Linked DNA regions of Lonchura striata. The protein of the gene in region 1 purifies or fractionates together with the protein of each later gene. This does not show direct contact. Links are inferred from orthologs where the notes say so. Each region holds a gene or a part of one and is shown on either strand. Other genes may lie near its edges.

Region 1 (7,639 bases):
TGACTATATGCAATTGATATGCAATTTATTGTGATGAAGGTTTAATTTCAACACTGATGCGTTTGTTGGTGTTGTCCTTTTTAAGTTCTGTTATACAAACAAACAAAAAACCAAAGAAACTGCTGGATTCTGCATATGGGATGAGGCAACTCGGGATGTAGGACAGATTGGTGAATGAGATGCTGGAAGCAGCGCCATGGAAAAGGGTCTGGGGGTCCTGGTTGACAGAAAGTTGAATGTGAGTCAGCAGTGCCATGGCAGCCAGGAGGGCCAAGCCTGTCCTGGGTGCATCAGGCACAGCATCACCAGCTGGGCAAGGGAGGGGATTGTCTCCTCTGCTCTGCACTGGGATCGCCTCACCTCGAGGGCTGGGGGTGGTTTTGGATAGCACAGTGTAAGAAAGATACAAAGCTATTAGAGAGCAGCCAAAGGAAGGCAACAAAGATGGTAAAAGGCCATGAGGGGAAGCTGTATGAGGAGCAGCTGAGGTCATTTAGTCTGTCCAGCCTTGAGGAGACTGAGGGGAGACCTCACTGCAGCTAAAATCTCCTCATGAAAAGAAGAGGAGGGGCAGAGACTGATTCTTCTTTGTGGTGACCAGTGGTGACCAATGTCAGGACCTGAGGGACTGGCTTGGAGTTGTGTCAGGGAAGGTTTGGGGTTTTACCCCCAGAGGGTGGTTGGGCACTGAACAGGCTCCCCAGGGAAGTGGTCACAGCCCCAAGCCTGACACAGTTCAAGTAGTTTTTGGATAACACTCTCAGGCACATGGTGTGACTCTTGGGGTGTCCTGTGCAAGGCCAGGAGTTAGAATCAATGATCCTGATGCATTCCATCCAACTCAGCATATTCTGTGATTCTGTAAATAGTGTTAAGCGAGGAGAGAAAGATAATCTGTGTAAAAATCCATCTATTTTCATCGGGGACACTCTTCAGAAATAGCATGATCCAAGGTTTAAATAGAGCTCTTGAGTGATAACCCTAGCTCTACCACTAAAGCTCCGCCCAAGGCAAATTATTTTACATCTATAAAATGGAAATGATAGGTACTAACCTGCTTTACAGGAGATTTGCAAAGATAAATTACTTAATGTGTGTGCAATATTTTCAACATGCAAAGTGCCATAAAGGTCTATGAATTTTTATCTCAGCCCTTGCTTTAAAACCTGAGTGAGCACTCATAGAATACAAACTACAATGCAAAATACAATGTCAACAATCTCAAACAACATGCAAAATCTGAGCAAACCAGATTGTAAAACTCCGCTAATTTGTCTCCATTTCTTGTCTCTCAGTAAAAGGCCTGACTTTAAAACCACTTTCACCACTTATTTACAGAGAAGAACAGCATCACCATTGAGAAATGGTTGCTGATTAATTTTTTTGCGGGGCAAATGCTGACCCACTCTTGGTGGATAATGAAAAGCAACCTTTTTTTTTTTTTCATGTAAGGAAAGGATCCAGCAGCAGGGATTTTTTAACTCTTGAGAGGGTTTTGAAACTCTATTTTGTTTGGAGGAAATGTGGAAGGGATAGAAGAATTAATCCTGCTTTTTCCACTGATAGGGAAATCAGTTATTCATCCTCTTGCAGCTACTTCTCTCCATGTGTGGCAAAGTAACCAGCTCAGTGGAGCAGGCAAGTGGCGGTGAGTCAAATTTTGCAATCCAGAAGCATGTTCATGTGGAAAAATTACCAGATTACACCATCTTCACTTCACAGGTCAGCATGTTTATGCTTAATATATAGAAGACATGATACATATATATACACACACATACTATAAAGCAAGCAAATCAAAAGAAAGCTGAAGACAGATGTTGCATTTAGTATTTTCATTATGAACTGTCAATTGAAAAATTGGTGATCAAAAGGTTGGCCTTTGTTCCATAACCTTTGATCCATGCACACATGCAGCCAGCAATAAAATTTTGCAACATGAATATTGAATGCCCTTGGTAAAATTCATGTTTGCTTCAGAGGAATTACACCAAAGGCAGTCACTGGGTATGTGACCAGCTGTTTAGGGAAAATGTCATGTTTGAATTTAAACCATTTCAGAAATTGCTCAGTTGGTAAAAAAGGCCTGAAATTCCTGCCTGTGATAAGCTTCTCAAACTTTAGTCTTAGAGTTCCTTTATGTGTCTTGTGACCTTGTCAAGCAGAGTACAATGCCTCAAAAGTAACACATTTGTGCTCACAAAGGTGGGAGGACAGAATTTACAGCAGCTTGCTGTGCAGCCCCTTCTGCAGTACTGCACTGCCAGCAGCAGATGAGAGTCTCCTGTAGTGGGTATCTGAAGCCTGGGAAAAAGATTTAAAGGGGCATTTGCCTAGTCTCTCCTTGCTCACCATGTCAGCAATGAAGGAGGTGTTTAGTTAGTATCGAATACTTGAATTTATGTGTGTTTGTGTAAGGGCAGTACATGATGGAGGGTGAAGCAAGTATGAAATGTTCCTGCCCAGTATATCAAGTAGAATAACAAAAATTCTGCAAAACAAGTGTTTGTTCCTCAACATGTTAGGACAGGATTTGGACCAGTTTATCCACTGAATTCACATGCAAAAATGTTTTCTTTTTTCCCTATGTTTAGTTTGGTTTTCATTTGTCACTTTGAATCCTCTCTTTCTCTAAATTAAAAAAACCCTATTACCTTCTATATTGGTAGCTTGATACCCAGTGTGCATGTCTAGGGGCACTTTTTAACTTACCTGCAGAACTGATTTGAAGTCAATTTCTTGCTTGTCTTAATTGCATTTCCTTTATCATAAGGCAAGCTGTAATCATTAGTGTGTGCTGAGGATGCTCTGCAAATCTTCCCTCCCTAGAAGTTGATCTCTTTTTCCTAGGTTTCTCTCACTTTTAAAGATCCTCCTATTTGTCTAAATAAATGAAAAAGAACCACATACACATAGTGTATATGAAGTTGCACTGTGTGAGAATCTTTGAAATAAATTTGTACTAATATTGCATTGTAAGCTAAGGTTCTGCCCTCAGTTACAGCCATGAAACCAATCACATGAATAGAGCTTCTCGGATGTTGTTAATGTGTGAGTTTACTTCAAAGTACACCTTCCACATTATTTACAAAATATAATTGAACCAGAATGTCAGTTACAGAATGTGAAAGCAGTCTTGTAATGCAACTCATCTTAGTAAACGATTAAAGGCATGTGGCCAGGCATGTGCTAGGATGTGTAAATGGGATGGTAGTTTTCTATGCCTAGTTAGGAGAGCGGCTAGTTAAAGTATCAGAAAAAAAAAAAAAAAGATTTTTCAGAAGAATTTGAGTGGTAGGAGAAGGGTGATGGATCTCTCAAAGAAACATGCATAACAGAGAAAAGTCAAGGTACACTCAGTGACTATTTTGCAATCTATTGTGCTCCAGTACCCTGTGACAGACACAGACATTTAGCACGGAATTTCCCGAACCTCATGTCATTATTGGTTTTAGTGCCGGAGTTCCCACTTAATCACAGCAGTTTTAAGTCTTCATATCCTATTGACTGTGTAACCTAAGCCCTCAGAAGAGCCCTCAGAAGAAATTACCACCGGTATTCAGCAGGTTTGAGTGTTGAATCATGATCTACTCGGAGAAACTCCAACCCAGACAAATGGCACGTCTGTGTCTTATTTACATACCTGAGTGACAAGACAGTGTTTCCTCCCACTTTCCAGAGAAACAGCCTGTTAAAAAACCATAGGAATATTTTAATGAATCCTGAATAGCTTGGGTTTTCCTCTTGACGGAAAGGAGCACCATACTCTTTTGCTTAATGTCTGTGGATGTACTTGGAGCACCTCAGGAACACTTGTGTTATTTTGTGTTTATTAAGTAACTTGCTACGCGGAGCAAGGAGCACTTTCTCAGTGCTGGTGGCCGGGGAACAGAAGCGGTACGGGCAGACAGGGACCCTGTTACCCCTGTGCTAAATTCGCATTAAAACTGAGCTGTTTTATTCCACGCACACACTTGGCCTTACAAGTATTGGGAGTAAAATGACCTGAACGAGAGCAGGACTGTTCGCAGAGGCCAAGTGGGCTCCGCTGATCTCGGGGGGCAGAAATGGGGCCGGAGCCCCGGAGATGCGCCCCTGGGGAGTGGATCGAACCTCCGGAGCTGCTTCCCTGCTCCCGGTAAAGCGCCTCAGCTCTCCCTTGCCCGCACTGCTCCCACTGGAGCTGCGGGGGGACCGTTCTCCCTGAGGAACGGGACGGGACAGAGCTCCTGCTGCGACCTCCCCCGGGACACCCGCACTGCTGTAACCCTCTGCCCCTCCACGACTGCCGGGCGGGAGCACACGGGAAGGCAGAAGCTGCGTTAGCGCCACTCCGCTTTTTTGCGAGCTGTGCCGCAAATGCACGCTCGTGCCTCTGGCAGCTGCCGGGCAGAAACTGCCGGGAAGTAGAAAATCCGCACATACACACCCTGCCGAGCAAGGAGGAACGGCTAAACTGTCTCGTCCCCGCTTCCACCTACTCTCATCCTATATTCCGGGACAGGTGGGGGGCCCGCCTCTTCTCCACCTCGACGGGGCCGGCGCTGCCGGTCTCTCCTCCCCTCTCCTCCTTGCTCCCTCCCAATCCTCCTCCTCCTTGGCGTCCCCAGAGGGAGCCCCTGCGCTCCGCGACCGAGTGGAGAGCGCAGCCGGGCGCACCCCGTCCCACAGCCGGCTCCAGCCGCTCCGCAAGCCCTTGTGCACCGGCCGCCGCCTGTAGCAGGAGGAGCAGAGGTGGGAGGAGGAGGAGGAGGAGGAGAAGGAGGAGGAAGGCAGCAGCCCGTCCGCAGCGGGGCACGCACGTGTGCGCGCAGACCTCGACGGCCGCCCTCCAGCATGCTGCTCGGAGCCGCGCAGGGCAGAGCGCCGGAGAGGAGCTGATCGCTGCCGCGGGAGAAGAGCAGAGGGGAGCAGGAGCGGCTCCGCGGAACCATCCGTGCGCCCGTCCCGTCCGACCCGCAGCCACTGCGCCGAGGGAGCGGCGGTCCCGCAGCATGGGCGGCCGCAGCCCCCTCGCTGCCGCCGGGCCCCGCGGCGCCGCTGTCCTGGTGCTGCTGCTGGGGCGCCTCGCTCTCTGCCTTGCCGTGGAGGGAAAGAAAGGTAGGGGGCCGGGGGGAAGAGGGCAGCGGGGTCCCGCCGCCCTTTGCTAGCTGCGTACTGGGGGACCAGAGAGCCGGCGCTGCGGGCGGCTGCGTTCCGCGGCCTCCCGTGGGGAGAGGCGGAGGGAAAGTCCCAACTACTTATTTCCCTAAGAAAAAAAACAAATCAAAACAAAAAACCCACCCCAAAAACAGAGAGAGGGGAGAAACGGGGAGAAGACTAAACCTATAGCAGCGATCACGCAGCCCTGACTTCCTGATTCTTGGTTTATTTTCTTTTGTGGGGGTGGAGGAAATAAAAGGGAATAAGCCTTGGCACATCTCATCGGTTGTGCTTCTTTAGTGTTTCTTTTTTCTTCTTTCCCCCTTCCCACGTTTCCCAGTCACTCCCCGGAGAGCACTTCCCGGCTCAGCCCAGCACAGCCGCTCTCGGCTCCCTTGCACCGGGGCGGCGAGGAAAAGCCGCGGGGTTCCCGAGTAAGCGCCGCTCCGGTAACCCGCTGTCGCACTGACCCGGACACCTCCGCTTGTCCTGTTCAGAAATAGTCATAGTGATAATAGAAAAAAGTATACACCTGGGGAGGAGGTGACTGAAAAAAAGGGAAACTTTGTGTGGGTTCTGGTTATCAGAAAGAGGAGGGATTAATCCCTCCGTCCCGTCCCGTCCCGAGGCTGCCGGCGCTGCCAGCCCCGGCGCTGCCCGCCCGTGCCGGCGGTGCGTGGGAACAGCTCGGCGGGGCTGGCTGTGGGGCAGGGGCGTGGGGCTGCCGCGGGTGCTTGGGTTTTCCTTCTTCAGTGGAGAAGCTGTCTCAGAGGATGAGAAGCCGTTTCTGGCTGGTCAGACCCGTCGCATTTTCTCTGTGTGTGGTGTTCTCTTTTCTAAGTTTGGAGAGCAGGCCCCGGCTGCTGTTCCAGCCGGAGAGCAGTCCTCTTTATCTTGGAAATCTGCCAGCCAGAGGAAAAAATGCAGATTTGGGTGGTTTGGTTTTTCTTCTTTTTCCTTTCATTCTTTTTAAAGAAAAAGCGGGAGAACTATTAGTTTCTAGAAGCCACTGCATGGCTTAGAGCAACTTAAGAGTCTTTTGTGACTGTGAATGGTAAAGCCACCCTGAAAGTGAGGAACACCCCATCCAAAAGAACTAGTTGCACAACTTTTAAAAAGTGGAAAGATTCTCTTGTTCCAGAAATCAAGTTCATACCTGTTGTAGATGTAACATGGGCAGTTTTCTTTCCTGGTTTTCTTTTTATTTATTTATTTTTCCTCACTCTTTGAAGCTGGTGAGAAGTAAAGTGCCTCCCATCTGCTCTGCCTGTCTTTTGAGATGCATTCTCAGGTGCACATGCCCTGTATAATATATTAAGAGTGAGGAGAAATACCTTGTTTATAATGTTTAATTCTGTGTCTCATAAACTTAGGAGGTTGCCAGTTTTTTGAGGATTACTAAATCATCAACGGCTACATGATAAATCCAATAGAGGTTATTCTCAGGATGTTGTGTCCGCAAGTAACTGGGTCCTCTACCAGAGGAACTGAGCTGGATGCTCAGTGGCAGAGGTGGAAGCAGAAGATTTCTTCAGAAAGCATTAATCAATTGATTTGAGTTATTAGTTTCTCCCCACAGTTGAAGATAAGCAAGAAAATTATTCAGAGGCACAAAATGAAGCAGCATCTGAGAATTGAGTGTTACTGATTTGAAGCAACAGGTCCAGCAGGTAGTAGAGGATCAGTGTATGCTTGGGACTGCCTCCTTGGTCAAATGATAAGACCTAGCATCAGATTTCAGAAAAATGCTGAAAGGAAACTTGCTGTCATAAATATATGGAACACTTCTGCAAGTTCAAATCTCATGTGAAAAGACACTTCTTAAAACTTTGACCTGATTTGTTCTATTACCAAAATGACATGTCTTGAAAAAAAAAAAGATGCCTGGGCAGCTGTTAGAAGAACATCAGAATCAGCCTATAAAATCCAATCAACATAATGTTTGAATGGAAATTTAAATACAATTGTGTCTTCTCCCAAAATTGTAGAATTAATGTTCTTGAAGATGGATGAGAGAAACCTGTTTTTGTTGTAACACTGTAGTCATTAAGATACAAACAGAAGCCTAGTTGAACATATTCCAGAACCAAACAGCATTGCTCAAAAGTGAAGTACTCTCAGCACAGGGATCAATACCCACCTCTATATACCTGCTCTGATGTTGACCCATATTATGTGAAGCAGAATTAATCTGGATTTCCACTGATATATCCCGGGAGGCCTGCATTGTGGTACCTGAGATAAATACCTGTGATAGCTGGCATGCCACTTATGCTGGCTGCATTTGACCCGTGTCCTTTGTGTGACAGCGCTCGGTGACAGTGCTACGGTCCAGCAAATTGCTTTTTGTTGCTATATACTGGTTTTATATCTCTAGTTTTGATCTGTAGCTGCAGACATTGTGGGATGGGAGTGTGCAGCTCCGTGTCGGGAGTGTGCATACAGGCGTGCCAGGCGGCTCGGGAGCTGCCAGGGTGGACTGTGGTAGCTTTCTGTA
Region 2 (7,421 bases), on another chromosome or scaffold:
GACACGGACAGGTCAGGGGACAGTTGGGGACAGGGACAGTCAGGGGATGCACGGGGACAGGGACAGTCAGGGGACAGCTGGGGACAGGGACAGGTCAGGGGACAGTTGGGGACAGGGACAGTCAGGGGATGCACGGGGACAGGGACAGGTCAAGGGACAGCTGAGGACACCAGGAGACAAGGACAGGTCAGGGGACACACAGGGACATCCATGGGCAAAGGGAAGCTGGACATCTGGGGACAAGGACAGGCCAGGGGACAGCTGGGGACAGGGACAGGTCAGGGGACAGCTGGGGACAGGGACAGCAAGGAACTGGACATTTGGGGACTGCCAGCTGGACATTTAGGGACAGGGACACGGGACAGGCAGTCACACGGGGACAGTGCTGGGGACACTGGGAGAGACATGGGGTGATGCTGGGGGCGAGAGGTGACAGCTGTGGCGACCTGAGGTCACCGACAGCCGGGGTGACACAGAGGGTGGCACTGAGCAGGACACAGTGACACACTGGTGACAAGAGGTGACACCAGGCACAGGGGATGATGTGGAGGTGATACCAGGTGACACTGGAGGTGGCACTGAGGGACACGAAGGGATGGAGAGAGTGATGCAGGGTGACACCAGGTGACAGCGGGGACACAGAGAGTGACACCAGGGACACCGAGGGTGACACCAGGTGACAGCAGGGACACCAAGGGTGACACCAGGTGACAGCGGGAACACAGAGGGTGACACCAGGTGACAGTGGGGACACCGAGGGTGACACCAGGTGACAGCGGGGACACAGAGGGTGACACCAGGGACACAGAGGGTGACACCAGGTGACAGCGGGGACACAGAGGGTGACACCAGGTGACAATGGGGACACAGAGGGTGACACCAGGTGAATGGGGTCAGGGCGGGGCCACCAGGTGCGACACCCCCGCGCTGTCCCATTGGCTGTCACCGCCCCGGCGACACCTGGGACGGACAGGGCGACACGCAGGGATGGAGGGACACACGGAAGGGTGGGGAGGGACACTTGGGGACAGCGAGGTGGCACTAGGGGACATCAGACCACCCCAGCACCCCCCAGACCCAGGCACAGCACCGCCCCCCCCACCTGAGAGCGCTCCCAGCACCGGGGAGCCCGCGGGGGTCCCGGGGGTCCCGTCCCGGGGCGATCCCTCGGGGCCTCCCTTGCGGGGGTTCCCCATTCCTGGGGGGTTCCCCATCCCCGGGGTCCCACCCGGGGGGGGGTTCCCCATTCCCGGCGGTCCCCGAGCGGGGCTCGCAGCCCCGGCCCGCGCTCCCCATCCTGAGGGTCCCGGTGTGTGTGTGGGGGGGGCGGTTCCCCCTCACAGCTCCCCCCACGGCCCCCTCAGGCCCGGCGCGGCTTCCCCCAAGGCGGGGCCGCACTAGCCGGCCCCGGGGCCGCCTCCCCGCACCCCTCCAGGCCGGAGAAGCCCCCGAGGAGCCCCGGGCTCGCCGCCGGCCCCGCACCAATGTCGCTGTCCAGGCCCCGCCGCCGGGTCCCGCCCGCTCCGCTCGGCTCCTCCGCGACAAGATGGCGGCCGCGGCCGCTGCCACCCGCCGCCCCCTCCCTGCGCGCGAGAGGCCCCGCCCTCCGCGCTCTCCCATTGGTCAGCGCCGCCCGGCGCCGCGCTCTCATTGGCTGTCTCCTCCCGCCACCGCCCGCCCCCTCCCTCCCCGCCTCAGCCGACGCGAGGATTGGGCGGGCGCGCCCCGGCTGGCCACGCCCCTTTTCCTGCCGCAGAGCCCCGGATGGGGAAGGCCACGCCCCCTGCTGGGCCTCGTGACCCGGCGCGGCGCGCGCCGCCCCGACGGCGGCCGAGAGGGGACAAGGGGCTGGAAAGGCGGAGTGGGGGGGGCTACGGGGGGTACGGGGGGGTCTGGGAGCCATAGGGGCCCGTGGGGGGCTATAGGGACACAAAGGAGGTTTGTGGGGGCTTATAGGGGCCTATCAGAGGCTTGTAGGAGCGCTTGAAGAGCCCACAGGAAACCGCGGAAAACTTTACGTAGTGTCATGCCGAATTGCACAACTATGGGGAACCGTATGCAAAAATTTAAATCAAGGTCTCCGAGGTAACGCAGGAACCTATAGAAACCTAACGGGGGCCCTCAGAGCCACAGGCGGCTACACACAGGGGCTTGGGGAGGATTTGAGCGGGCTATGGGGCACCAAAGGGGGTCTAGTGCAGCCCAGGGGGAGCGTGGGGAGCCTCGGGGGTCTCCAGGGCCCCAGAGGGGCTCACTGGCCGCTTATGCGGGGCTTGGTGGCTGTAGGGGGCCATGGGGGGCTCACAGGGGCTGTGGGGAGCTCCAGGGGCTCATGGGAGGGGCCATGGGGATCAGGGCGCCATTTCCGCATGGTGTCGCGGCCTGGTGACGTCAGAGAGCCGAAAGGGCCGCTGGGAAATGCAGTCTGATGAGCACGCGGAAATGGCCGCGGGACCAGAGCACCAATCCCGCGGCGTCGTTGCCTGGAGACGTCACTGGGCCGCAGGGGCCGATGGGAGATGTAGTTTCTTGTTCTTCCCCCCAAAATAAAAGGCGCAGGAGTCAGGGGGGGATCCAGAACTTTATTCACAAACCAACACCGGGGTCTGGGGTCACTCCAGGGGGGGCAGGGGGAGGCGCTTGGGGTCGTAGTAGTTGGAGGTGAGCAGGGGCAGCCCCCGGCGCTCCCGCTCCCGCACCTGGATCTCGGCCTCGCGCCGCGCCCACTTCTGCAGCCTGTGGGGGAGGGGGTGGACAGGTGAGCCCCACACCTTGGGGATCCATGGGGACATCCCAAAGCCCCTGCCAGGTGTCCAAATTCCTCCCTCCTCAAGGGGCCTGGGATGGACCCTGGGATACCCCTATAGATCCCATACAACCCCCCAGAGTCCACCCTAAGCCCCCTCAGCCTCCTATAGCCCCCCCAGGGCTCTGTAGCCCCCTAAATCCTCTCCCAGATCCACCATGGGCTCCTATACACACCCTCAGAGCTGCCCAGGGCCCTACAGACCCCCAAAAAATTAATGGAGATCCCCATAGGATGCACAGGGGGGGGTCTTGTGGGCCCCCAAATTCCCTTGCGAGCTCCTACAGCACTCTCAGGAGACCCTCCAGCACCCAAAGACACCCCAAAAAAACCCAAAAATTTAGTTAAGAGCCCCTCCACAGCTTCCCCACAATCTCCCCTTGGGGCTGCCCCTCTCCCCCTCTTCACCGTGGGGGGGTTTCCCAGGTGAGAACCCCCCGATCACAGACCCATAGTCGGGCAGGTAATGCACGAAGACGGAGCCCAGGACGATGGCGATGGAGATGCCGGCCACGAAGGCGGCGCGCATGTTCAGCACGTCGGCATCGGGGTCGGCCGAGAAGCCATGATAGTCGGGGTTCTGTGTGGGGGGAGGGTCCTGTGAGCCCCCTGCCCCACCCAGGCACCCCCAGGTGTGTCCCACCCCCTCCCCCTGGACCCCCAGGTGTGTTCCACCCCCTCCTCAGGGCCAGAGGAGCCACCTGAACCCAAACCCCACCCCAAGGTGTGTCCCACCCCCTCCCCTTGGACCCCAAGGTGTGTCCCACCCCCTCCCCCTGGACCCCCAGGTGTGTTCCACCCCCTCCTCAGGGCCACAGGAGCCACCTGAACCCAAACCCCACCCCAAGGTGTGTCCCACCCCCTCCCCTTGGACCCCAAGGTGTGTCCCACCCCCTCCCCCTGGACCCCCAGGTGTGTCCCCCTCCCACACCACAGCCCTGACCACGCCCCTTTACAGCCCTGCATTCACCTGAGCACACTTAAACCCCTCCCCAAAACAGGCCCCGCCCATAAAGCCCCGCACCAACACCTCCCCACCCACCAAAAGCTCCGCCCACAAGATTTAAACCACGCCCCTCCAACATCCGCCATTTTTTCTTTACAGAAGCCCCGCCCCTGACCACGCCCCCACCGTCCCCACACAACCCCCGCCCCGCCGCTGTCGCTTTGCCCTTGGCCTCTCACCTTCCTCTGCGCCACCAGCATCGGCTCCTCCTCGTGCGCCTCGGCCCCGAGCGGCCGCGGCAGCGCCACAGCCCCGGGCGATCCCGCCGAGCGGCCCCGAGCCCCGGCGGGCAGCGCCCGCAGCGCCCGCAGCGCCCGCCACAGCGCCGCCATCTTCCCCCGCCGCTCCGCCTCGCCCCTTCCTCCCCCTCAATCCGGCCAATCGCCGCCTCGCATTGGCGCTCCGCCCCGCCCCCGCGCGGCGCAGCCAATCACAGCGCTGCACCTCCTTTGGCCCGCCTACTTCCTCGCCGTGGCCGCGCCAGTCGTAGCGCTGCACCGCCCCCTCTACAGCGCGGACCAATAAAAACGCGGCGTTTTCGGAGTGGCGGGAGGACTAACCAATGGGAGCGCGGCGAGGGCGGGCGCGCGGGACGGGCCCGGCCGAGCGGGAGCGGCGCCGCCATTTTGGCGCTGGGCAGCGGCGGCGGTGGCGGCGCCCGGGAAGGTCGGGACGGCGTGAGGGGCGTGAGGGGCGGGACGGGCCCGGCTGGGACGGGAGGAGCCTGCGGGGAGGGGCGGGGCTGACCGGGAGGGGCGGGGCTGACCGGGACTCCCGGTGCCGTTTGTGAGGGAGGGGGGTGTGAGAGCGGGACCCGGGGCTGGTATTTTAATGCTAATTAGGGGGTGGTGCGTTGCATGTTAATTGAGGGGTATATTTATATGCTAATTAGGGGTGGCGCGTTGTATGTTAATTAGGGAGTGTTTGCATGCTAATTAGGGGTGGTGGGTTGTGTGTTAATTAGGTGTGGCTTTATGTTAATTAGGGCGGGGTGTGAGGGTGGTCGTGTCTGCTCGTGCTCCCCTGCACAGGTCCCAGTGGCTCCCAGTTCATCCCAGTTCAATGTCCATTTCCCCCTTGTTCCCCTTCTGGCCTTTCCAGTTTGCCACAAAATTTTCCAGTCGTTCCTCCCAGTCCATCCCAGTTCCTCCCAGTCCATCCCAGTTCATTCCGTTCTGTTCCCATTGATCCCAGTCCATCCCAGTAACCGCCCAGTTCCTCCCAGTCCATCCCAGTTCATTCTGTTCTGTTCCCATTGATCCCAGTCCATCCCAGTAACTGCCCAGTTCCTCCCAGTCCATCCCAGTTCATTCCATTCTGCTCCCATTGATCCCAGTCCATCCCAGTAACTGCCCAGTTCCTCCCAGTCCATCCCAGTTCATTCCATTCTGTTCCCACTGAACCCAGTCCATCCCAGTAACCGCCCAGTTCCTCCCAGTCCAACCAGTTTCTGCCCTCCCAGGTGCTGGCACCATGGAGTACGAGCGCAGGTGAGGGGGGAACCTGGGGATCCCCAAAATTCGGGATCTGGGGGGAACATTGGGCAGCTCTTGAGGACTCCCCGTGAAATTAAATGGAATATTTTGGGGAGGTGACACTGGGGAGGGAGGGGACATTTGGGGGCACCTCAGGGGGTATTTGGGGATGCCCTGGGGGGGGTGAGGGGACATTTGGGGACCCCTGAGGGCAGAGGGGACTTTGGGGACCCCAGAGGGTGGAAGGAACCATTGGGGGGTTCAGGATTCATTGTGCAGATTTGGGTCAGTATTTGGGGTCTGGATTAGGGGTCCAGATTTGGGGTGCAGGATTTGGTGTCCAGGATTTGGAGTGCAGGATTTGGTGTCCAGATTTAGGATCCAGGATTTGTTATACATATTTGGGGTCAGAATTTGGTGTCCAGGATTTGGGGTCCAGGATTTGGGGTCCAGAATTTGAGGTTCAAGATTTTTTCTGGAGATTTGGGGTCCAGATTTGAGGTGCAGATTTGGTGTCCACGATTTGTTCTGCAGATTTGGGGTCCAGGATTTGGGGTGCAGATTCGGGGGTCAGGATTTGCTGTCCAGGATTTGGGGTCCAGATTTGGTGTTCAGGATTTGGGGTGCGGATTCGGGGTCAGGATTTGCTGTCCAGGATTCGGGGTCCAGATTTGCTGTCCAGGATTTGGGGTGCGGATTTGGGGTCCGGATTTGCCGTCCAGGATTTGGGGTTCAGATTTGCTGTCCAGGATTCAGGGTTCAGATTTGCCGTCCAGGATTTGGGGTCCAGATTTGCTGTCCAGTATTCGGGGTGCCGATTTGGGGTCCAGATTTGCTGTCCAGGATTTGGGGTGCGGATTCGGGGTCAGGATTTGCTGTCCAGGATTTGGGGTCCAGATTTGCCGTCCAGGATTCGGGGTGCCGATTCGGGGTCCAGATTTGCCGTCCAGGATTCGGGGTGCGGCTTCGGGGGGTCCCTCCGAGGTCTGGGCAGCAGCGCTGACCTCGCCCCTCGCAGGGGCGGCCGCGGGGACCGCACGGGGCGTTACGGGGGCGCCCCGGCCCCCTCCGAGGACGGCTCCCGCGCCCAGCGGGACCACGACTATCGCGACATGGACTACCGTGGCTACGGGGGACCCCCCGAGGGGCCGCCCGCCGCCGGGACCCCCCCCCAGGTGGGTGCTGGGACCCTGCTGAGCTTTATTTTAGCGTTAGAGTTTCGGTTAAATGCGTGGGATGGCGCTTTTTGTTGGGATTTAAATGTTTCTTGGCGTTTACTTACGTTATAGTTTTGTAACCGTAACGATGTTTTACTGAATTGAACGGAAAACATAATAAGTGCATAAATATAACACATAGCAAATCAAAAATAATAAGATTAAAATAATAAAATACACAAAAACGCGTGTAATTCTAGCATAATGTAATAAAAGGAATTTTCATAAGGTGTTTTTAAGATAAGCTTTACAATTAAGGAAGAATACTTGAATTTTTTAAATTTCAAGTCCTTAATTAGCTAATTGTAGTTTACAACGTGCACTTTTTTGTTTGACATTAAAACATTAACTAACAGCCAAAATGATGAAGAAAAATTAGCTTTTGTTTTAAAAGTTACTTGTTTATTACTGTATTTTAAAACAGTTAAGGTAAAGCTTTTTGCTGTGCAATATTGCAGAGTTTTATTTACGTTTTACTTATATAATTTTAACTTTACTATTTAATAATGGTAGTTTGTTTTACAGGTTTAGATTAGACCCTGTGTTTTTGGGAGTTAGTATTTGTTAATACAAAAAAAGTGAAACATTCAGTGAAAGGCGCTTTAACTAAGTATTTATTAGTAGAGAAAAAGCGAAATTTCCAGTGAGCAGGGCCCTCACCATCGCCCTCCCTCCCCTGTGCCAGGCGTCCTACGAGACCACGGAGCCGCCGCGGAAGCGGGAGCCGGCGCGGGAGCCTCCCCGGGAGCCGCCGGCGCTGCCGTTCGGCGCCGACGGCGATTACCGGGACCAGGATTACCGGGAGGGCGCCGAGGAGGAGCCGCGGGCCAGCACCATCGTCATGCTGCGCATGCTGCCGCAGGCGGCCACCGAGAACGACGTGAGCCCCGCCCCTGGGGCTGGCCACGCCCCTTTCG
Region 3 (7,372 bases), on another chromosome or scaffold:
GGTTTTCTGATACAGTTAGTATTTCAAAATGTGATACTTTTTTTTTGTTTTGTTTTGAGATGCGTTTTAAGTTACTATAAATCAAAGTCACTATTTCTGAAGATGTCCCAAAATAGTGTGATTTCTTAACTGTATTGATTTTTCTTTTTGTAAGTGGGAATGTTTTTTGGCTTTTAGATTAACTCCACCACTTATTTCTTACCTGAAATAGAGTAAAGCTACTATGGCTGTACTTCTGCTGCATATAAAGGATAATTGCATTGGCTTTTCTATCAGTTTAAGAACTGGGTGTGCATGGGGGAATTCTTTTTATCTTCTACTTTGAAATATGACTAAACAGATGATCTAATTATGTTTGATGCACATCTTCCCCAGATCTCAAAGCTTTTGAAAGAAGACTTACTGAATACATTGCATGTTTGCAACCTGCTACAGGACGTTGGAGAAGTAAGTTTGATATTCCAAGGAATAAATAGTCTTTCATGCTTGTTAGATTTACCAGTGTGTATCCTTTATTTAAGTTTGCCCAAAGAGAAATTTGTATTTAGGCTTGCTTTAAAATTTGTGGCATACATTCAAACACTCTGCAACAAGTTCATACAGGATAATAAACTAATATTTTAGCCAGAGTTAAAAAAATTAGGTTAAGTTTGAATTGGCTCAAGGCTGAATTATTCTGGAAATACCTGAAACAGTAAGTTGTGTTTGTTTCTGTTTTATCTGGTTTTTATTATGTTACTGAAGTTTTTTTCTTCAAGACTCAGACTTCCCAGACTGTTGCTGTAGTTACTTAAACTAAACATGGTTAGGTGAAATAGTCCCTCTAAAATTGAAGGTGAAAAAGTTACAGCAGTGTGCCATAAAGGCAGCTTTGTTTTGACAGGAAGGTTTGAAGGAGGGGGGAAGGCAAAAAATTCCACAGATATGCTGCCAGCTTTGGGATCCCTGGTCTGTGGTGGATACATACAACTTTGTTTTGTTTTTGAGACTGCTGAAGTTTTTCTACTCCAAGAATACAGACTTTCTTTTAGAACACATAAAATAGTATGTTTTCTCCTGAGAGGTCAATTTTGAATGAAGGAACTGAAAGAGACACTACTTAGAAAGCAAAACCAAACACCACTACCACCACCTCAAACCCCCTTGTTCCAGGGAAATCAGATATTTATGTGTAGTTCTGCTTTAGGAATGCATTTGGCTTCCAAAATGGCTGTTTTCTGTCAGTTACAATTAAAAAAAAAATTCTGGAAACTTTTAAGCATATTTAAATGAGGTTTGCATAACTGGTATTGTATTCAGTGGCTCATGTTTTTTCCCCAAATTGCTTGTTTTGTAATTCACATAAGAGGGACTTTCTCTTTTCATTATAATGGGGTGTGTGACCAATGTTAGCTTTTCTTCCTGTTATCCTAAAAAGAAAGTATTTATATGATATAGAGAAGAAGCTCTATGCTTTTGATAATCTTTTGGAAAGATAACTCTGGTTCCTTTAAAGGATCAGGATGTTTTTACTTGACAGAATTTAGATTTTTCAGATGTACTTGTTCTGTCCAGGAAGTTTGTACAGAATCCTTAGGGTTTCACATTTAGATGTTTCTTTGCATATTTTCATTTTTGCTTTCCAATTAGGAGCTCTTTCTCCCTCAGAAGTGAGAAAGGAAATAAATGTTTAAGAGTTGCTGCTGAAAAATAAATACATTTAAATTTGAGTGAGGTATACTGTTTATGACTCTCATTCTTTTCTTCATCAGTGATTTTGATAGTGGTATCAGTCTGCACAGCAACTGGGGCTTGGAACTGGTTAATAGACCCAGAGACACAAAAGGTAAGGTCAGGCTAATGCCTAATGTGCTGTGTTCCATAGCTTGGTGCTGCAGTCAGGTGGTGTATTGGAAACTGAAAGGCTGAACACATTCTCACATGAAACTGGGAGGTGATTTTTAGTCAAGCTATCAAGCTGTCTGGAATTGTTGTGGAATGTGTCCTGGGACATTGCCTGCCAAAATACTGTACTCTGAATGCTTATCTAAAGAATTGTTCACAAGTACTTGGAAATGGCTAGGGAGCAGTATTTTATTTTTAGTTAAGGGATCTAGGCAGCAACTTTCTGTGTGTTTTAGGAAGTATGCAGTTGGAATAACCCAATTTCTTTCCTAGGTATCATTTTTCACGTCACTTTGGAATCACCCATTTTTCACAATTAGCTGTATTACCCTAATAGGCTTGTTCTTTGCTGGAATACATAAAAGAGTGGTGGCACCATCAATGTATCCTTTGATAATGTTTGTCACGTTAAAAGTGTAGTTCCTGCAGCCTGTTGGAGCCTGTGCTAATACTGCGTTTTTAGTTTTTGCTTACTGTGTGTGCAAGTGTTACTTGCTTTCCTTGACACAATCCACACAGTATAGCAGCCCGATGCCGAACTGTTTTGGCAGAATATAATATGTCCTGTGATGATGTAAGTGTTAGTGCTTCATTGCCTAAACCTTCTTTGTTAAAAGAAAAAAAGGAAATAATCCAAAAAGTCTGTTTTTCTGAACAGCACTTGTATATTCTTCAGCAAATTCTGTGTGTCTGTGAAACTGGAATGTGGAATACTTAGTATCATTTTGTGTGTTGTTTTAAACTCTTACTGTAACATTGAACTTGAAGTGTAATTGTTGGGTTCAGCATTCAGGGTTTAAACTTTGTTTTCTTTTCTGTCTTGCAGACTGGAAAATTAATTTTGAAACCTAGGCCTCATGTTCAATAAGGGCTGTCTTCCTTCATTTTTTTCCACTGCCATGGAAACCAAAAATGACCTTTTTTAAGGTAGTATGACAGCAAAAAAATTAAAATGGGACTGGTTGTCACTGCCTGGGAGTAAAAGTCTTAACACAGTTGACAGTGAAAGTGTGCAATATTACTTTCTTGAATATTTATCCAAATTCTTTGTTATCACATTATCAGTGCTTTTGCTACTTCTGATTACCTCTTTTTCAGTATTAGTGTCACTTTTTTACTTCAGCTAGAACAGAACATACAGGTGAAGTATGTTAATTGGCAATGAAGTTGAACTTGAAAATGAAACCTCATTTGTGTTACGTGTCTTTCTAAGCTATTGTAAATAGCAGATTGATGCCAATGTTCAGGAAAAAAGTAAAATCTGGTGTATGGATTTTCTTGTTCTCATGAAGAGTATTGAAAGGAACGTTTGCCATTCTCCTGATGTTTTATTAGCACACTTCCTCATTGCAGCCGTCCTTGTCTCCTGGTCTCTCTTTTGGAACTGGTTTAAAGGCTCGCAGGAAGACTGACTGTTTGTGCCGGAGAAAACTGGTCTTACTGTTTAAGAACTTCGCAAATATATCAAGGATTACATTTGTCAAGTTGTGTATATAGTGCACCAGCCACTTTCCTTGTGGTCATATGTAGTTTCTTGTTTGATCTGGTTCAAAACACTTATTTTAAGATTTTAATTTTTTTTTAATTGTCTTAAATATGCTTATATCTTCCCAATTGTAAGTTTGTACTGTATCTAAATCCACCTGACCATTCTGAGTGGGTTTTGTTGCTCTGATAGTCAGAATACGAAACTGGTATTGCAAATGTGTAACTTAAGATTTGGTGAAGAAAATCTAGAGTGCCACAATAAAATAACAAAGTTTGTTATTCAGAGTGTTAACAACAAGGCGTGGACGATATACACATAAAGTGTAACTTTTGAGTAGCTAAAACTGGCAAATTTTAAGGGTTTAAGTTGTTCAAGGTGCCTTTTAAAATGTTTTGAACTCTTTAAATTGACTCTAACTGCAAAGCTCTTGCAACTTCAGTAACCCCTACTACAGGGTAGACTGGCTTTTAAAGGCAGTAATTGATGTAACTTTGTCAGTTGAAACTTAAGAATTGTCTTCTGGATTTTTTTTCCAGTAAGTCTTCTGCCCATCCATTATTTTTAACTGCTGTATATTTTGTAGGTAAATGTGTATAAAATAAAATCTTTGTATAAACAGGTGTTATCTTCTTTTGTACTGTGCAAATACAGATCTCCACTGAACACAGAAGAACTTCAGAAAATTTATAGCTGCACTCTCTAACTTTCATACCGGACCAACATTTCCTGTATTTGATGTGGGTCTTATAATCTAAGATACTGACACCCGAGAGGAAACCCCTTCCAGGTTTCCACCCTCCAGGTCAATCCCGCCTCTGTAAGTGCCCTTAGAGGAAATCGTTTCTCTCGATAATTTTCTCGGAGCGCAGGAGGCGCGGTGCCGCCCTCGGTGCCGGGCTGGGGTCGGTCGGACGCGCGGCCGCGGCAGGGCGGGGCGGGCGCGGCGCCTGCGCGGGGCCGCACACGTGGGCGCGCCGGCGCCGAGCGCAGCCATGGGCAAGAGCCGGGCGCGGCGGTTCCGCAGGGCGCCCCGAGCCGCCGCCGGCCCCGCGCAGCAGCGCGACGGCGAGCGCGGCCCCGAGGAGGAGGAGGCGGCGGCGGAGCTGCTGGAGAAGGTGCGCGCGGGGCCGGGCGGCGGGCGCGGGCGGGCGCGGCGGGAGCCCCGCTCCGGACCGGGGCAGCGGCGGGGGCTGCGGGGCCGGGCACGGGGGCGAGGCCTCGGATTCCCCCGCGCCGGTGCCGGGCGAGGCCCCGGGCGCGGTCCCGGCCCCGGCGGGAAGGAGCCGAGCGGGGCCGCCCCTCCCTCGCTCGCTCCGCTCCCGGCCGTCGCTCCCGCCGCGTCACGGCCGCGCCGGCGGGGCGGCCCCGGCACCGCCCGCGCTGCGGCGGCGGGGCGGGGCGCTCCCAGCGCCTCCGCCCTGCGGCGTGCCGAGCGGTTCTTGCGGGGCTCGCCTTCGGTCTCCCCGGCCGGAGGCTTCTGCACGTGGATAGAGCCAAGTGTGCAAGAGCCACATGTAGGGAATAAGGGATAGAAAATGCTGAGAAAGACTGGTTTGGCCACTTGTAGGCCATGGTCCTGGCTTAAGTATTGCAGGTGAAAACTGATGTAAATCTCCTTCCGCAGGTGTGATTTCAGAATCAGAAGCAAAAATCAGTTTGCCTTTAAGTAATTAAATCCCCTTTGCTCGCTTCACCCCACCTAATTCATTGAACACACCACTTATTGATTATTCTTTTGGACTAACCTGTTTAGGAAAGAAATGGGAAGAGAGAATAAAGGCACAGATGAGCATGAGCTGAGACCCCTTTTTCAGAAATAAAGGCACAGATGAGCATGAGCTGAGACCCCTTTTTCAGTGGAGGCAGAATCTGATGTTACCACTCTTCTGTTCTGCTCTTCAGCAGATGTTTATCTGCTAGGTTTTCAACAAACTCCGTGGCCTTCCAGGATATGCACTTCTACTGTGTTATTAATTTTGCAATTTGTAATTCTTGTATCTCACCTAAACTGTTACAGCATGTGTGAACATTGTCTTCAGGAATGTAGGGAACACTTGTTTCTTGCTGTTATGCAGATGCTTTTTGTTTAAAGGCTATATTTTTTGTTTTTTTCAGCTTGTCTTTATGGAGGCATGTGTTATGTCTGTTACACTTCAGTGATGATATTTTCCTTCTCACTTCAGTCTTTTTTTTTAATACATGGTAATTGAGGTCTCACCAGTGCCAGCTAGTGTCAAATCTGTGTCTGGACTGTGGCTATCTTGTCAAATACCCAGAATAGCATTTATCTAGTCATAAAGTTAACACACATAGCCCAGTCAAGGATTTATAAGCTTTCATGGAAGTTAAAAGTTCCTGCTTCCATTCAGGAGCAGTAAAATGGGAACCACGGTGCTGGCCCTGATCAATCTTTTCACTCAGGAGAACCCTTGAGCTCCTTTTCCCTCACTGTGACGTGCCCTGTCCGTGTCTCCGCAGCTGCAGCACCCAAGTGCTGAAGTGAGGGAGTATGCCTGTGCTGGGATTTCCAAGCTGCTGCAGCAGAAGCACGTCATCCCAGCCTTTGTGCAGCGGGACGTGGTGCGCTGTCTGGGGCCCTTGCTGATGGATCCCAGCTTAGCTGTCAGGGAGACTGCTGCAGGTGCTCTCCGGTAAGCACTGGCCACTGCTCAGGTGGAATCAGGGGATCATGGCACAGGGGAAAACTGTGGGGTTCTGCTGGTGACAGCTGTGAACTGCAGTGCCTTCTTCTCTTAAAGCTTCTCTTGCTTTAATTCTGGCCTGAGGAACTATGCCTACATTAGCTGAAGTCTGTGGGGGAGAGGAGCTTTTCTTGCTCTGGCAGACTTTAATGTCAGGAGCAGGCTTTGTGCTAGAAATATATGGCTTTGTTAGGAAATAGAACTTGAGTGCAGTTTGTGTCGTGATGTTTTAGTACAGATAAACTTTCTAATTATGCTTCATGAATAAATAGAAATAATTTTTTTAACTGCAAGGTTATTCTCTTGCGTTAGTGAGGTAGAAGACTAAAGCTACAGTTTAAGCAAATTGAGTTTAAAACAAAAAGTACCATAACGTTTAGAGAAGAATATCAAAGGCATGGGGTTTTTGAAATGTTTTTGGAAGGTATTGTATCTCATCCAAAACACTAATTTTTTGTTTTCCCCAGAAATCTGAGTGCTTGTGGAGGATTTGATGTCTGTGATGACATGGTGACAAGTGACATCATGACACCCCTGGTTGTACTTCTCAAAGAGGTGTGCTTATTTTTGTTTTGATTTTAAACCTGATATAGGTATTTAATTGTCCCATGTACAAAAGCAGTTCTATTTTTGTAGCTGTTGTTGCAATAAGGTACTTGAAAGATCTTTTAAAAGAATGTTTTGATATGTTTAGTGATACAAAAGTTATTCCAGAGATTTCTGACCGCTACCTTCTGGCTTCTGGCCACCTAACTTGTGTCCACGGTGAGGTTCTCTGCTTAGGATGAATTTTTGAGTGAAAGGTTTGGACGTTTTGGGTCTGTAATGTCAGTTAAGACAAGTTTGTTCTGTCAGTGAGAATCAAGGTCCTTTATTTATGTTGTGGTATTATTCTGCTGATGTTTTTTTGGTGAGCAATTTTGTCTCAATGGGTATTTGGATCTAGAGCTGGAAAGTTACTGTAGAATAACCTGTACTGAATTTGTATTCTTTATTTGGTCCAGGTGTTGCATTGCAGTTTGGATATTGCATTGATTTCTCTTACCTGCTGTCTTTCTACGAGCAGCCTTGAGCAATATCATAATTTTCTGTATGTTTCTTCCCCATTTTAAAATATGAGTAGTAGCATTACTATAGAGCGCAGTAAGGTATTAACTGAGTTAATCTTCGTGGTTAGAAACACCTGTTGCCAACGGCATACAGACTATTAGCAAGAAACAGCACTTCAGGTTCTAAAATTCCCAAGTATTTTTTTTAATCAGAAAGTGATTCCAAATACTAACTACAAAGTGAGTAC

Evidence for each region.
Region 2: the proteins of EGFR (region 1) and RBM10 purify together in Homo sapiens (affinity purification with mass spectrometry, with the first as the bait; 3 studies listed by BioGRID). This does not show direct contact. The link is inferred for Lonchura striata from reciprocal best matches to the Homo sapiens genes EGFR and RBM10.
Region 3: the proteins of EGFR (region 1) and HEATR3 purify together in Homo sapiens (affinity purification with mass spectrometry; 3 studies listed by BioGRID and IntAct, with this or other methods). This does not show direct contact. The link is inferred for Lonchura striata from reciprocal best matches to the Homo sapiens genes EGFR and HEATR3.

What each region holds. Positions count from the first base shown.
Region 1 is NC_134603.1:105,542,322-105,549,960, reverse strand, and holds the start of EGFR (epidermal growth factor receptor), read left to right. Parts: upstream 1-4,624; 5' UTR 4,625-4,994; coding exon 4,995-5,100; intron 5,101-7,639. UniProt on the Homo sapiens protein: Receptor tyrosine kinase binding ligands of the EGF family and activating several signaling cascades to convert extracellular cues into appropriate cellular responses.
Region 2 is NC_134638.1:897,516-904,936, forward strand, and holds the start of RBM10 (RNA-binding protein 10), read left to right. Parts: upstream 1-4,414; 5' UTR 4,415-4,478; intron 4,479-5,274; 5' UTR 5,275-5,285; coding exon 5,286-5,302; intron 5,303-6,305; coding exon 6,306-6,462; intron 6,463-7,189; coding exon 7,190-7,384; intron 7,385-7,421. Other genes in the region: NDUFB11 (NADH dehydrogenase [ubiquinone] 1 beta subcomplex subunit 11, mitochondrial), read right to left, coding at 2,613-2,736, 3,256-3,386, 3,992-4,144. UniProt on the Homo sapiens protein: Binds to ssRNA containing the consensus sequence 5'-AGGUAA-3'. May be involved in post-transcriptional processing, most probably in mRNA splicing. Binds to RNA homopolymers, with a preference for poly(G) and poly(U) and little for poly(A).
Region 3 is NC_134615.1:11,208,717-11,216,088, forward strand, and holds the start of HEATR3 (HEAT repeat-containing protein 3), read left to right. Parts: upstream 1-4,365; coding exon 4,366-4,488; intron 4,489-5,851; coding exon 5,852-6,024; intron 6,025-6,542; coding exon 6,543-6,630; intron 6,631-7,372. Other genes in the region: CNEP1R1 (nuclear envelope phosphatase-regulatory subunit 1), read left to right, coding at 376-447, 1,752-1,825, 2,158-2,267, 2,404-2,458, 2,711-2,752. UniProt on the Homo sapiens protein: Plays a role in ribosome biogenesis and in nuclear import of the 60S ribosomal protein L5/large ribosomal subunit protein uL18 (RPL5). Required for proper erythrocyte maturation.